Linked DNA regions of Lepisosteus oculatus. The protein of the gene in region 2 purifies or fractionates together with the protein of the main gene of each other region. This does not show direct contact. Links are inferred from orthologs where the notes say so. Each region holds a gene or a part of one and is shown on either strand. Other genes may lie near its edges. The genes, in order: spidr and swsap1.

Region 1 (7,606 bases), on a different chromosome or scaffold from region 2:
AATATTTAATAGCACATGCATTAATAGTACAAAGCTTTGAGGTATTGCCAAGTTTAATATAGTTTTCTTTGAACAAATGTGAATGGGCTCGTTATGTTCACCGTACTGTCATTTTTTAAATGTATTTGTAGTAGTACACAGCTTTGAATAACCTGAGTGGTACTGAAAAGTTTTCTATAGTTTACTTTGCCCGTTTTGAGTTGAGCTTGCTCAACATGAACACAATGTGTCACTACTTTTGTGCAGGCATAGATGAGATGAAATTCAGTTCAACAAAAGGCATTTTGACCGTGAGCTGTGAAACCACACTTCTTTACTCTTTTTATAATGATGCCCCCTCCAATCCTCGCACACTTGCTCTGTGTCACTGAAGTGTGGACTTGAAGGAAGGGCTTAGGGCAGAGGGCGAAAACTGGAAGGTGGCCCATGGGTAACAGTATCATTCATACCAAACTCTGAGGTGACTGGTGCAGTCTCTTCCAGAGGCATGGGGTAAAGTCCACCCCTAGCATCCCGGTAGTACAGCATCGCTTCTGATCTGTGTGTTTGACAGTACTGGAGGTGTGGAACAAGCTACCTGCCAAGGTGCTGAAGCCAATATCCTGGGTTCTTTCCCCTGGTCACTCAGCTCTTAAAGTGCCGAAGAGACGGGCTGAAAGGCCTCCTCTCATTCACTACGTTTCTCACGTTCCCTTGCTTTCAAAGTGGGCAGGTCGGTGGAGTCTGACTACATTTCCCAACTGCCATATCTCCCTGCATCTCACAACTGGCAGCCCACTGAAGCTCAGCAGGCGTGAGCCTGGTCAGTACCTGGATGGGAGACCTCCTGGGAAAAACTAAGGTTGCTGCTGGGAGAGGTGTTAGTGGGGCCAACAGGAGGCGCTCACCCTGCAGTCCATGTGGGTCCTAATGCCCCAGTATAGTGACGGGGACACTATACTGTAAACAGGCGCTGACCTTTTGAGATTGATGAGACGTAAAACCGAGGTCCTGACTCTCGGTGGTCATTAAAAATCCTGGGGTGTTTCTGGAAAAGAGTAGAGGTGTAACCCCAGCGTCCAGGCCAAAATTTCTCATTGGCCCTTCTCAATCGTGGCCTCTTAATAATCCCCATATATGAATTGGCTTCATGACTCTGCTCTCCTCCCCACTGAGAGCTGATGTGTGGTGAGCGTTCTGGCGCACTATGGCTGCCGTCGCATCATCCAGGTGGAGCTGCACACTGGTGGTGGTGGAGGGGAGTCCCCATTACCTGTAAAGCACTTTGAGTGGAGTGTCCAGAAAAGCACTATATAAAAGTGTGAGGAATTATTAATATTAGCAGATGCAATCTGAGACACAAAAGGCAACACCTACTATTCAAAATCAGGCGGAATACCGGTAAGTATTAGTTTCTTAAACAAAAAACAGTTTCACCCAAACACCTGGACACTGAAATTGACTGTGCACACAAAATACCCACAAGCATTCTGCAGGTTTCGGTGCTATAACAGATCCAAAAGACATTGTATTTTCAACTGACCTTCAAGAATTCGGCTTTGCTTCCGCCAATTCACTTACCTTTAGCTAAGAATGAAGAATGAACCAACTGCCTCACAGCTCTTAACTTCTTTCCAGAACTGCCCAGTTTCTGAAAATTAAACCGAAAGGGAGAGGGGCAATAGGGCAACCTATTACTCAGCGATAAAAAAACATTGAAAAATGGCAGCAACCGGCACATTTACAGTAGAAGCCAGGATCCGAGACCAAGACAGTAACGCCAAGGCCGGTGTGGTGGCTCTGTGGCTGGAAGGTTGCCGGTTCGTATCCCGCGGCCGGCAGAGGAATCCTACTCCTTTGGGCCCCTGAGCAAGGCCCTTCACCCCAACTGCTCCAGGGGCCACGTATAAATGGCTGACCCTGCGCTCTGACCCCAAGCTTCTCTCCCTGTCTGTGTGTCCCTTTTAGAACAAGTTGGTGTATGCGAAAAGACACATTGTATACGGCCAGTAAAGTGATCTTATCTTATGTGCTAGGCCACCTTGCCTCTCTCTGCTTGTGCACGTTTACTCATGATAAGGTGACAAGCTGTATACATGGTGAGGTTTTAAGCTATAGGCTGGGAGCAGGCATCTCCTTGTTCGTGATGAGTGTTGGGCTACGTACCTGTCCCTCGACAACAGGGCAGTCCCTGAATCCGTCCCCACGGCGCTCCCAGGACTTGGCAACAGAGGAGGGAGGACGTGTGCTCTCATTTCCCAGCGTTTGCACTCCGTCCTTGACATCGTCAGGAAAGACCGCGCGTCTGACTTCTCTCGATCTCCTCTTCCTCTAACGGAATTCAAGCCAAAATCATAGCGCTTTACAATCCTTCGAGCACCGATCTCATTTCAGCGAAATGTTGTTGTTTTTTTTTATTATTATAGGTGACTGGCACACGTCCTGCGCCCTAACTGAGCAGACTGCTATATTGAAAGATCAACTGTTGTGGTTAAATACCCTTCAATACGGTTTTTTTTTTGTTAAATAAATAATATAAGAACACGAAGGATTACAGTCTGGAATATTCGGTAAATATTATTAATTTAATAGCAGCTCATTAAAAGTTTCATAAGGGGCAATTGCCGCGGACATGCAGTAGCGTTATAAGCAGGGAAACGGAGAAAAGACACGAATATGATGCACAAACGCTGTTTTCGCTTTCAGCCGGTGGCTCTTGCTCTAGCGCAGCTCAGCACTATCCAGCCGAGAGGAGGAGAGCGAGTTTCTGCCACGTTTCACTTGGCACGCCTCTCCAGAGGAGATAAAACAGCTCCATACCCTGGCACAGCGGTTTATAAAACTAAACACTGAGAAGAAACGTGGTTCTGCAACAAGGTACTTCAGGCCACTCTGGTCACTAGCCACATTGCGCAGCCAAAGTTCATAAAAGTCCCACTTACCTTTGCAAAAAGAGACATGGCTGTTCCATTTACTAATGCATAATGTACAAACCCGGTCTTCAGCTACTTCGTCTGTTGTGACCGTGATTTGTGTTAATTGCTCTACAATGTGACAATAGTCATAATCCTCCCGTACTGTCTTTTTAACTATTTACCTTCCTGTGATGCTGTTACTTTCTCCTTGGCGCGCCACTTCACTGGCGTGGATGATTGGACAAACCGTCAAAAGAGGAAGTGTCGTCATAGGCTGCGCAACGTATTCTGGGGAATGCAGTACAATGTAGGGTTCATTCCCGGACGTCTGTTTTAGCTGGTTCGAATAGTTTAGGTTGAACAACAATGATAAAAGACTTTAACGTCTTCATCTGGTTAGAAAAAAAAGTGAGATTTGGGACAAGCCTAAATTATTAGCAATACATCTACTACCTAGTTCAGGTGGGTATCTGCGTCAGCATGCGTAGGCTGCAAAGGAATAAGTAATAGGTTTACTCCATGCTGAAAAAAGAAGAAAGAAAACACAACGTTTCGGCCGTGGAGCCTTCTTCAGATGTGTGGCTCCACGGCCGAAACGTTGTGTTTTGTTTTTTCACCTGTAAGGTGAAGGTCTTTCTTTCTTTTTTACACCTGGTAAATGTGGCAGATCTGCATTTAATGTTCAGAAGCAAAGTGTTACATGCAGTGACAGCAACGTAAACCATGAACTGCAAGCAAGCCTCTGCCCGCCTGCTTTAACAGTGTGGGTGTTCTGGGTGAACTAATGGAGAATTAAAATGTACAGTATTTCCTTACACAGTTGAATACCTACAGCCTGAAATTTGAGAATTCATCTTTGATGAGGAACTTTATCGGAAGCTTTCTGAAAATCTCAATATACCAAACACTGTAGATTATATGACAGATTATGAGTTTATTTGCCAAATAGTTTCTGAAGAAAGGCAGTTAGTGGTACTGGATACATTTCATTAAGCTGGTCATTATGGCAAAAACAAGTATTGTTGCTGCATATAAGACATATAAGTCTGAGGCAGGTTTTCGTATGATGGTCTCTGCCACGTTTTAAGTCAATAGCTGGAACACTCACTATGATTTGAACAGTGTGAAGTTTGAGACAAAAAGGCAGGCAGGCAGCCATACTATTTTAAGGTAGATAATCTTATTATCACTAAAATGACACCAAATACCTGTATTTGTTTGGTGGCAACAGGCACAGTTTTTGTAAACATTTTTGTGCACATCATTAACAGCTTTACTTGTTCATGAAATCTTCCACGTTTCAGACGTAATCTGTGAAGTAGTGTCCAAGACAGACAGAGACAGTCTGAATTGTGAGAGCATGACGGTCCTGTGGCCATCTTGTTATACATAGGAACGACAGTGTGTGAGACTTTAATGCGCCGCACAATGACATCATGCTTGGAGTTTTGGAGTTGTGGCAGCTATTATCATTAGACTTTGAATTAACTGCTCAGAAATTGCGCAATGTTTCTCTTGTCTTGAAGGGAAAATTACCCTGGCACTACTTAACTGCTTTAAGTCAGTTTCTTAGGAATACTGGGGAGATGGAGATGAGGGGCTGGCCGATAGGAAGGGCTGACTGGTTAGTAGAAATCGGGACATCATAAATTGGACTCTTCTTCTCCATAATTTTTGTCTTCCAAAAGAGGAGACATCTGAGTTGAATCCCAGCTTGTGATCTGTTACAAATCCATTGTCAAGGCCAGAGTGATTCACCGAGGAGGAAGCGGCCACATGACATGAACATTACGCCTGTTGATATCACAACCTGTGACGATGCACCTGGAAAGGCTCTACACAACAGTCTGAGAAGCCCTGTGACTCTTGAAACCTTGGCAACTTGACGGCTAACTAATCTCTTGACTGGATCCACCATTGCTTGAACAACTGGAACAAACTTAGCTGAAAGCATCTGCCTGACTGAGAGACCTGTATAAACTTAATTCTACTCAAGACTTCATCTGCAACAACAGACATTTTCCCACAAGCTCCCAATTGTAGTTGTGCCTGATCAATGGAATAACACAGTCAAACTTTTGTCAGCACCACTGAATATCATAGAATATTCAGAATAGCAACTACTGATTACAGGCAAGTGAACTTTCTATCTATGTCTCAATTGCCGCTGTACCCAAGTTCATTCTGAGGAGCCATCTTCAACATGAGGCCCCACTCAGCTGTCCCTGCTTCAGCTGGAACTCCTTCGGCACAGAGATGAGGACAAGGAGTGGACAGCTGCAGCCAGATCCAGCTATAATGTTTAATAACGAAAATTAACCAGCTATTTCAAACATGATGCAATTCAGCTCAACTGTATTTTTCATTATACTTACACAGGTGCATAGAATAATGAAAAGTGTTTCTCATTAGTCTCTCAGGTGCAGGACAGAAAACACAATAACAATAACAGTGTAAACAACAGTACGGTACCAGTGCAGCAGTACCCATATCTGTTAAAAACTGTGCAAAAGTACATAAACAGAGCAAAACAGTGCAAAATAATACGGTGAATATCAAATAGAACAACTACAATTAAGTACAGTTTTAAGTTCAAGTTCGGCTTACATTCAATTGTCAGAGGTATGGTGTATGTAGTGGTGTAGGAGCACAGTCGTTGTGGGTACAGGAAGAGGTTAGATCAAGTGGAATTCAGGAAAATAGTCTTAATGTGTGAATGTTTATGTAATCGTATTCACGAGGTAATGTAATCTAGACCTGCTATTTTTAGTATTTTGTAAACCCTGAACGATTGATCAATTGTGTGTTTCATGGCAGATTGAATCATAAATATAATTATTTTATTGATTTATTTTGTATATGTATTGCTGTATTCATAATTGTGTTTGTCCCCATAAGGCAGTGGCTATAAGGTATGCCCTGAGTTCACTTTCCCAGTTCCTAATTATTTCAGTAAATTGAAACCATCATAACACTACAGACTGAACTGGAAAATGTTTTTTTAAACAGTGGGATTTAGTTTTATGGGTTGAAATCTCGAAATCCAGAAAAAGAAAATGGCTGCAAAGAGCCAGCTTTGTTTACACAGCTATCCATTATCACTTACAGTGTTCCAATTAGTGAGAGTTACGACTATAAAGTTTGCAGTTCAGTGCTCAGACAGCATTTTAGCAGAAGCTGCTTGTGTGAAGAGCTGCTTTTCTCAAAACATTATAGCTCATTATAGATAAAACTTACCATAACAATTTTTCTAAAGCATTTTTTCCCCCAAAGATGTGGTTGTTGATGAAGTCTGCTAAATGTCATTGTAACTACAGAAATTCAATGTTGTTTTGAGCTTTGAATGTGCAGGTCTGGTTTCCATCTTGGTTGACACTGAATTTGTTGTCACTAAGATAATGGCTTGTATTTGTCTTAGTGAGCTCAAAGTTTCAGTATGGAGTTTCCAGGTTGTCTAGTCTTTAAAAACTGGAAGCCTAAAAATATTCACAATAACTTCCCATAACTTGGAAGCCTAATTATCTGTTGCTGGGTCTCAGCACATTTGCAACTTAAAAGGAAGGAAGGAAAAAACTTTATATTCACCATAGACTTCTCAGACTCAGACTCACTGTAACAATACAAATCCTTACATCCATGATAAGTTTAGGAAACACTGATTCTGCTGCTGTGACAACCAATGACAGTTGGTTTTATTTGTAAAAGAACATCGCTGAATAAATTGCTTTTGATAAGAATCTGTAACAATTATAGTAAATATTGATCCACAATACCATTTATCTGCCCAGAATGTTTTACACACAGTGTGTAAATGTTTTTTAATCGTTTGCTGAGCTGTCAGCTGTTATCCACCAATTCGTGGTGAAGAGGCGGGCCATCAGACAGAAAATGTCGGTTTTTGGACGACAAAATAGACAAGGGGCCTGAGGCACCGCGGAGTCAGTCATGATAGACAGCTAAGCTCCGTCTCCCGGCGATGTCTCCATGAAGTGACCTGGTGCCGACGTGTTGGTGCCATCACGCATGACGCGACCACAGAAGACGCGGTCGCACAGCTGCCGCACAGGAGTGACAGCAGCATAAAAAACCCCAAATCCAGCTGGGGTGAGCAAGCCAGGGTTTTTTTCCACCTGGTTTCTCCTCAGGAAGTGACGCAGCCGATGCCTTAAGTTGATAGCTGCTGTGAGGTTGCAGGCAGCTGCGGTCCTGATAGTTTCAACTGTGGTGACGCTTCGCCAGGGTCGGAGAACCCTGCTGGAAACTGGCGAGCTGCAAAGCGCAGGGATCATGTTTGACTACCATTATGTGTCGCCGCAGCAACTGGCCGGGTTCGACAAATATAAGGTAAAAGCATAACAAATCGGGGTACAGTCTTGTTTGATTCAGAAACAGCGATCAGTTTTCATGCTGTTATGGTGTTTCCTAAAGACAAGATACAGAAATCGTGAAAAATCGTAGGAGCCAAGCTAACGCGCAAGTGAACTGGATTGCGATATTGGAAATATATATATTTATTATTTCTATTTTATAAGGTAAGGGCTGATTAAAAAATAAAAGCAAATCGGAGATAAAGAATGAATTGAACAGCTTAGACTGTAAGAATGGGCAATCTGAAAACATTGTGAGCGACGACTCAGAATATCCCTCTTTTATAATTAGCCGCCTCCGGTCTTTGGAAATGCTTTTCTGATCGTCCCGGGACATCTGTATTT
Region 2 (7,462 bases):
TTTAAGAATGCACTGGATGTTGAGCTGTTAGTTCATTTCTCTATTTGAACCACAGTGAATCTCTGGGCCAGAGCTTATGCAGGTGTCAAGGAGTTAAGCCACGATTCCAGAGACTGACTGATGTCAGACCATGCTGATGTATGTTAAGTTCTATAATATATACAGGGTTAATCAAAATGTTGTCAACGAGTATAAATGTCAATTGTTTTACTAAGGTTTTGTTTTCTCCTCCACAGATGGTGAAGGATTGTAAGGTAACTGTTAAAAAACTCTGACCGTTAATTACATGGGTTACTGTGATAAAAAAGGTTTCAAACAAAAGCGTAAATATCAAAGTTGTCGACCGCATTTTGATTAACCCTGTATTTTCCTTCATCTTTCAGTTCAAGTATCTAGAAGCTCTTCATAAGAAAAAAATTCAACTTCAACAAGCTCGGGAGGACAGTGCTGAGGAAATACAGAGAGAACTATCAGGTGAGGCATCGCCCACAGAGCGCATACCGATCATTCTGTTAGAAATAAAGAAATGAAGCCCGACCCCCTCTGTGTGAATAACAGATGACTCAAGTACACTGTAAGAGTTCTTTTGGACCCGTATGGATCTGAAACTTTCCCAGCCTGAATGTACGACTTGGTTATTTCATACTGTGGCTTTTCCAGGATTATGGTCCAGAATTCCTAGCCTGGGAATCTGCGCAGGTGAGCCATTATAGGCTTCTATTTTCAGGTGATGGAAGAGAATAGCCAGGAAAGTTTGGAATGATCAATCAGGAGCTGGCTGCGAACAGGATGAGAGGAATGTGATTTTTCATATAAACCAACTTCTAAGTTTGTCTGTTGTTTTTGTGCTCGACTGCCCTGTTTCAATAGCCTGCCCACACACAACAGGACACAAAACCCATAACCTCCTCCAAAATCCAAAAGACATTTAGGCCAAATAAGTGAATAAATGTTTTGTGCATTTCCAGCCACAAGGGAATCTCATTCCTGGCTCTTTTCTGGGATTGGGGTAAACTCCATGGCTCCGCTTGGGGTATAGACCAGCTCCCACTGGCGTCCCAGTCCAGAGTCCCGTCCTTCCGTCTGCTGGAAACCGGAGAAATAAATCCGGCAAGCTCTTGTCCCTGCACAGCTGGCGTCTCTTCCCAGCGTGCACCTGACGGGGAAGTAGCGCTCGAAGACGGAGAGGACCGAATCGCTGCCCGACGCCTCGGCTCCGCGTTCCGGGTGGGTATCCAAGGACACGATGAGCTGGCACTCGGCGGGGGGGTCTCCGGGGGCCCCGGCGCGGGCCCGGCTCAGGAAGGTGGCGGTGTCGCACAGCAGGGCGGAGAGGCGCGCGGCCATCTGGTGCGCCTGCTCGCCCTCCCCTCCCCAGCGCAGGTAGCGCTCCAAGCCGTCGACGATGAGGAGGGAGGGCGGCGCGCCGGCTGCCTCGTGCAGGCACGCGACGTCCCGCAGAAGCTCCTCCGCCGTCCGGGGGTACACGAACTTGATTTTCTGCAAATGCATGAGGGGACATCATGAGATGAAAGCGCTAAATAAGTGTAAGAAATAATAATGGTAATAATAAGAAGAATAATTATTATTGTTGTGGTTAGGAAATGTAGGTCAGCACGGTAGAAGAGTGGTGAACACTGCTGCCAATAAAGCCCTGGCTTCAATTCTGGGGTGCTGTCTGTGTGGAGCTTGCATGTTCTCCCTGTGTTCATGTGGATTTCCTCCAGGTGCTCCAGTTTCCTCCCACAGTCCAAAACCATACTGATTTTTTTTTCAATCAAAATAAACTTTATTTCAAAGAAAACATCTCACAAGAAGTATAGATTCCAACACATTTCTCAGTCAGGTGTCCATTATCATTCATTGCAAGTGGATGAAGGGTCCAGATTTGCACAATGAAAGAGTCCCTCCTAGCCCTACCGTAAACCATACTGATAGGTTAAGTGACTTCTGGGAAAACTGGCCGTGGGGTGAGTGTGTATCTGTTTATGTCTGTGTGTGCCCTGAGACAGACTGGCGTCCCGTCCTGGGTGTATCCTGCCTTGTGCCCATCACTTGCCTGGATAGGTTCCAGCTCCCCCACAACCTTGAATTAGAGCAAGCAGTGAGAACATGGCTGGAAGGGTGACACAGGCGTGTACGTTTGGTGAGACTGAGCTATGACCCCAGAGGACAGAGACTGCTCTCATCTGCTTAGTTCTAGGATGGCTCCAAGGAGGCTGGAAACTGATGCCATCTGCTTTTCTGTCTCCAACGGCTTTTTATTAAAATATTTACTAGACTGAAGACAGAAATACCTATATTGAGTGATTTAAAGATACTTAATACACTGAAGACTGAAAACAGACTGAAGACAAAAAAGATGTAATAGACACAGTCTATCAATATTTACTACACGTTCTGCGTTCTGTAAAAATCAAAATAAATTTGAGAGTTCTGTTACAGACGTGGGTAAGAGCCGGTGTTAATCATTTCAATATCCTTGACTACACAGCGTCAAAGTGAAGTTTTATGCCCCCGTAGACATGTGCACGGTACCTACTTTCAGGCTAGCGGGGTCCAAGCCTGCCCGCGCTTCCATCAGCGGAGCAGGGAGGGTCTGGATCGGAGTGGGGCTCAGAAAGATGACTTTCCGCCCCAGTTCGGAAGCCGCCATCACCGCTGTTAGAAACAGAAGGCACGTCTTGCCACAACCCCGGCCCCCCAGCAGGATACAAGACAGTGAGCGGGCTTCTCCCTCAGGAGGAGAAAGAGAAGGAGACGACTCGCGTCCCCGAGGACTGTAGCGATCGAAGACCCAAGTCAAGAGTTCTGCCATATTGCCATTACCATGGAAACAAAGCCGACAAGGGAGTAACTTCCTGTCTCCGCTCGGTCCGAAAACAAACCCACACGTGAACTCTTCCCGCGCTGTGTCAGGCCCCGCCCCCGAGCTGTTATAGGGCGAGATGTGCGTATGTCAGGTGTCTTGAGTTCCCATTGGATAAAAGAAACGTAGGATTAAACCGCAGCACCTTTTACTTGAAGACATATTCACGACACCTTGATAACGGAGATTTTAAAGTGCAAGCTATTTTTGACATTTAAAAAAAATGCAGTTGTCTCGTTGATCTGTTGAATCTCTCTGGTTTGATTAAATGTAGCTCCTTGCTTAGGATTAAAAAATTAAATACTTAAAGTTATCCAGACAGACTGCTTTAAAAATATAATAAGAAGAAAAGTCGGTTTTGAACTTTTTGTTACTCTTAGCGTGTGCTTGCGTTAAAGATAAACGTCGAAGAAGAAACTAATGTTACAGCCTAACCTGGTACAAGGAGAAATAGCGTGGGTACAGCAATTCTAGAGCGAAATGATTCGATTAATCAAAAGAAAAAAACAGTGTGTGGCCTACAACAGTATTGTAGCGCTCTCGGCATTTGCCACTTTTAAAAACAGTGCCAGAGGAATTGGTTTTGTCCCATGCTGTTCTTTCAATTTTGTGATTACACTGAATATGTGTACTGAAATAAAGTAAAAAGAATAAATATATTGCCGCTATCCAATCATTTTTCTGCAAGCAGTGTTTCCGGTGAGGTCAAGTCGCATACCTTGACTATTTCCGGTAAGGTCAGAAACATACACACAGCTGTTGACCAAGATGGCGCACATGAGTGCCGAGGAAGAGACGTCTCTAGACCAGGAGGCTGGAGACCAAATTTCGGCGATTCTGCGGCGCTGTCGGGGACGTCCTCGCCTCACTGACACGGACCGAGCTAAGAGGCGATTGGAGTCCCGGAAAAAGTACGACGTCCGGCGAGTGTACCTCGGGGAGTCGCACAAACTGTGGAGTGAACTTCGGAAGCGGACCAGTTTAAGCGACGCCGGACTAGCCGAGTATTTAATCCTGCTCGACTCGATTTATGGCGAGAGGTACCAGCAGAAATACGGCGGGTAAGCCATTTACAAAAAATATTTTATTATTATTCTTGTGAGCAGAACATGCTTCATTTAAGGGTAAGCTTACTAAATGGTACACGACCAGAACTAGTGCAAACCTAATATTCAGTTTAATAACCCTGTGCTCTCTCGACCAGGTACTTTGGCTGCTAGCAATATGATAATTTATTTTTTCAATAAATTTTGTCTCATTATAGTCTTTTTTTCTTCATAGAGAAGTCTTCCCAATCAGTCAATTCTAATCTAACCTTAGTTGTTGTGACAGTGGTATTTTGTCCATCTGTGCTATTACTGTAGATGTCTTATTTATGTAAATGTCTTGGCTCAGATGTTATGTTGCAAAACACATGGATTTTTAGTTGATCTGAAGCGTAATCTAGTGATTTTCAGATTCCCCTACAAATGCACTGAAATATTTCGCCTAAATCCCTCATCACGATTGCCGAATTTTGACTCACCCAGGAAAAATTGCTCACTGATATCTGCATTTGTAACTTCTGCAGTACAGCTATAAATGTTCTGTAAAACATTGCTAGAGTGAGCCAAGTAATGTCCAAACTGCATTGCACGTTGAACCATTTCTAATTTTACAGAGTTTAATCTTATTCATTTTGCCTTGCTGATCAGTGTGGGTTTTCTTGTGGTATTTTAACACATTAGTCTGTTCAGACTGTTTTGTTGCATCAGATGTGAGAAAATGTCCTACTGACCTTACAGCAAGGGGATAGGAAAATGCAATGACCTCTTTGAATTATTTCAATTACTTACTGCTGTCTAAACCATAGCCTGTATCATAACCCTCTTCTTGTCTTTCAGAAAGAAGCTGAGTGCGGAGTTTTGTGTCAAACCAAAAAGGGGTTAGTAAAAACAGTTGGTAACAAGAGGTAGTTGAACTGTAGAAATGTGCTAAAGCCCGTTGCTGTTTTAATTTGATGTCTGCACGTATCCCATACTTTTCAGTAAATATTTTCTCGTTTTTCCAAGTAAAAGCAAACTCCTTTCAATGAGCACATTTCGGTGCTAAAATAGTTACTTTTTTTGTAACATGGTCTTGAAGCTTTTTAGATAATTTGAGTGGCTGAAGTGAGACAATAATAGAAGCCCTGTACAATTTGCACATCGTTCTTAGTATTATCAAGACACTCCTATTTAAAATAATATCTAAAATAAGCTACAAAGACCTATATTTAAGCTGTTTAAGATTTAAGCCCTCCAAACACCCTGCATCTAATCTTGTGACTCTTGAAGCATTAATCCATCCATCCATTTTCTAACCACTTTATACAATACAGGATCAATGAGTAGCAGGAGCCAATCCCAGCAAGCTCTGGTTGCAAGGCAGGGCACACCCTGGACGAGACACCAGTCCGTCGCAGGGCGGACACAGTAGCACACACTCGCACCAGGGCCAACTTTGCCAGAAGCCAGTTAACCAATCAGCGTGTCTTTGGATTGTGGGAGGAAAGGTGTTTGTGGGTAAGAAGTAGAGAGACCTAGTACTGACAGTGGTGCCGTGCGCTTTACTGTCTGTGCCTGTGTCCCCTCAGGGAAGAAGAGCAATGTGAACTGTCTGAGCAGTCTGGTCAGCTGGTACATGGAGCACCAGAAGACCTGCCCCCACGAGCCCCAGCTGCACGCCCTCGAGCCTGTGCTGGGCTTCTCCACCACGGCGGTGTGGCAGTGCCAGGCCGGCCACGGCTACATGCAGCACCTGGTCTCTCCCAGCAAGGATGCCAGCGAGTCGGAGAACGAGCCCGAGCCCGACACGCCGCCATGCGACAGGGTGGCACCCTGCACCAGGAGGAAAACGGCCTCTGCGTGCCACCTGGGTGAATGGCCGAACCGGTTAAAGCCGACGCCAAAAGCCAACAATAATCAACATTTCTGCGTGTACATCCTTCGTGGGTTGACTGTGACGGTTTCTTTCCCTTTTCTCCTGCCGCAGACGCCACGGAGACGGCCGAGGAGATGTCGGAGGGCCTGCAGGGCGGCGATGGCGAGCTGGCCAGAGCAGAGCCCATCGCGCAGGACAGTCAGGGGCCTCCGCCGGGCCATCCCGGCGAAGCCGACGCGGACTCCCCGGCGGCTAGGTCTCTGTGGAACATGGAGGTGGTCTTGGAGGAGGGGGAGGCCGTGCTGGAGGGCAACAAGGCCGGCGAGCCCCCTGGGCAGCCGGAAAATGCGGCGGCATCCTCGGAATCGGGTCCCGGAGCCCTGGGCCGGCATGCGGCGGGACCGGAGGAGGAGAAGGGAGGGGGCGCGTTGGCCGCCGAGACGGACTACGAGTGCATGGTGGTCACTGCCGCCCTCACGGACAGGGCAGTCAAAGACGGGCGGGTTGGGGTGGCGGAGGACTCCGGGCGGGATCCGTCCCACCCTGCGCCCCCTCCTCCCCCCACCATGCACATCACCGGCGGCGGGGAGCTGTACGACCAGCAGACTCTGCAGACCGTGGTGGCCAGCTGTCAGATCCCCGACGCCCAGGGTGCCATTGAGGGATCCCAGGTAGGACCCCCCACCCATGGCCTTCCCATTTCCCTCAATCAGAGCTGGATCCACTGAAACGAGGCAACTCGAAACGTCTTGGCCTCCTCTTGTTCCGGAGCTCATAGTCGACACATCTTCTTTACTGGCTCGCTCCCTCTTCTGATTGCATGCCTGCTGTGGAATGTAAGAAAGGATACAAACAGGAGAGCTTTAGCCCACTTGTTTCTGGTTTGCTGATTGATATGAGGATCTCATGCATGCTTTTCTTCTAGGTTCCCTGGCAGTGTGCTGTAATAACACTACTGGCTATCTTATATTGCCCAGATTCCTATAATAATCCCTGTTTAAGCCATAAGCCTATGTTCTTTGATTTAATCAGTGGTCTCCTTGATTCACTGTTGGTCCTAAAATATCCTTCTTTTTAAGCTCAGTATTTTTCTGGGTTTTGTAACTGTTTGTACCAGTCTTGGACTGCTGATCCGTCCCTCCCACCTGTTTCTACGGGGAGGGGGAGTGGTGACTCTCAGTCAGTTTCCTTGTTTCTCCTGGCAGGTGATCATCATCACAGGGCCCAGCTATGAGGCCCTGACCACAGAGGGCCTGCAGCTGAACGTGGGCGAGAGCGTGGGGGAAGAGATGACCTGCACGGTCATCGAGGGGGTGGCGTATAACCAGGTCTGCGATTCTGGGCTCGGGCACAGGGGCGTCGTCCAGAGCTTGGACACTGCTAGAGGTCAGTCTTTGGCGGTTGTCACCTTGCAGCTCCTTTGTGTGTTTATGTAGATGAGATCTTAATCTTTGCTGCCTGTGTGCCTAGCTGCAGGTGTTTCAGTTCACGGTGTTTGTGTATTGAAGGCCAGTGTGCAAAGAGCCATTCTATCTTTAAATGAGATGTTTAACCTGCTAATGTGAGTAGCCTAGGCAGAAAGAACATAGAATTAGTAAAACTATAATGGGATACAGAAAAGGTGAACAAACAATGAATGTATTGGGAGAAATCATATGAGCTGTTAATTTATCCTCGTGATGGGTGGGTTCA

Evidence for each region.
Region 1: the proteins of swsap1 (region 2) and spidr purify together in Homo sapiens (co-immunoprecipitation; 3 studies listed by BioGRID and IntAct, with this or other methods). This does not show direct contact. The link is inferred for Lepisosteus oculatus from reciprocal best matches to the Homo sapiens genes SWSAP1 and SPIDR.

Annotation. Positions count from the first base shown.
Region 1 is NC_090701.1:46,923,484-46,931,089, reverse strand, and holds the start of spidr (DNA repair-scaffolding protein), read right to left. Parts: upstream 3,115-7,606; 5' UTR 2,940-3,114; coding exon 2,922-2,939; intron 2,311-2,921; coding exon 2,146-2,310; intron 1,631-2,145; coding exon 1,561-1,630; intron 1-1,560. UniProt on the Homo sapiens protein: Plays a role in DNA double-strand break (DBS) repair via homologous recombination (HR).
Region 2 is NC_090706.1:17,214,709-17,222,170, reverse strand, and holds swsap1 (ATPase SWSAP1), read right to left. Parts: upstream 2,908-7,462; 5' UTR 2,819-2,907; coding exon 2,543-2,818; intron 1,501-2,542; coding exon 982-1,500; 3' UTR 641-981; downstream 1-640. Other genes in the region: znf653 (zinc finger protein 653), read left to right, coding at 3,638-3,930, 4,753-4,793, 5,484-5,765, 5,882-6,441, 6,976-7,156. UniProt on the Homo sapiens protein: ATPase which is preferentially stimulated by single-stranded DNA and is involved in homologous recombination repair (HRR). Has a DNA-binding activity which is independent of its ATPase activity.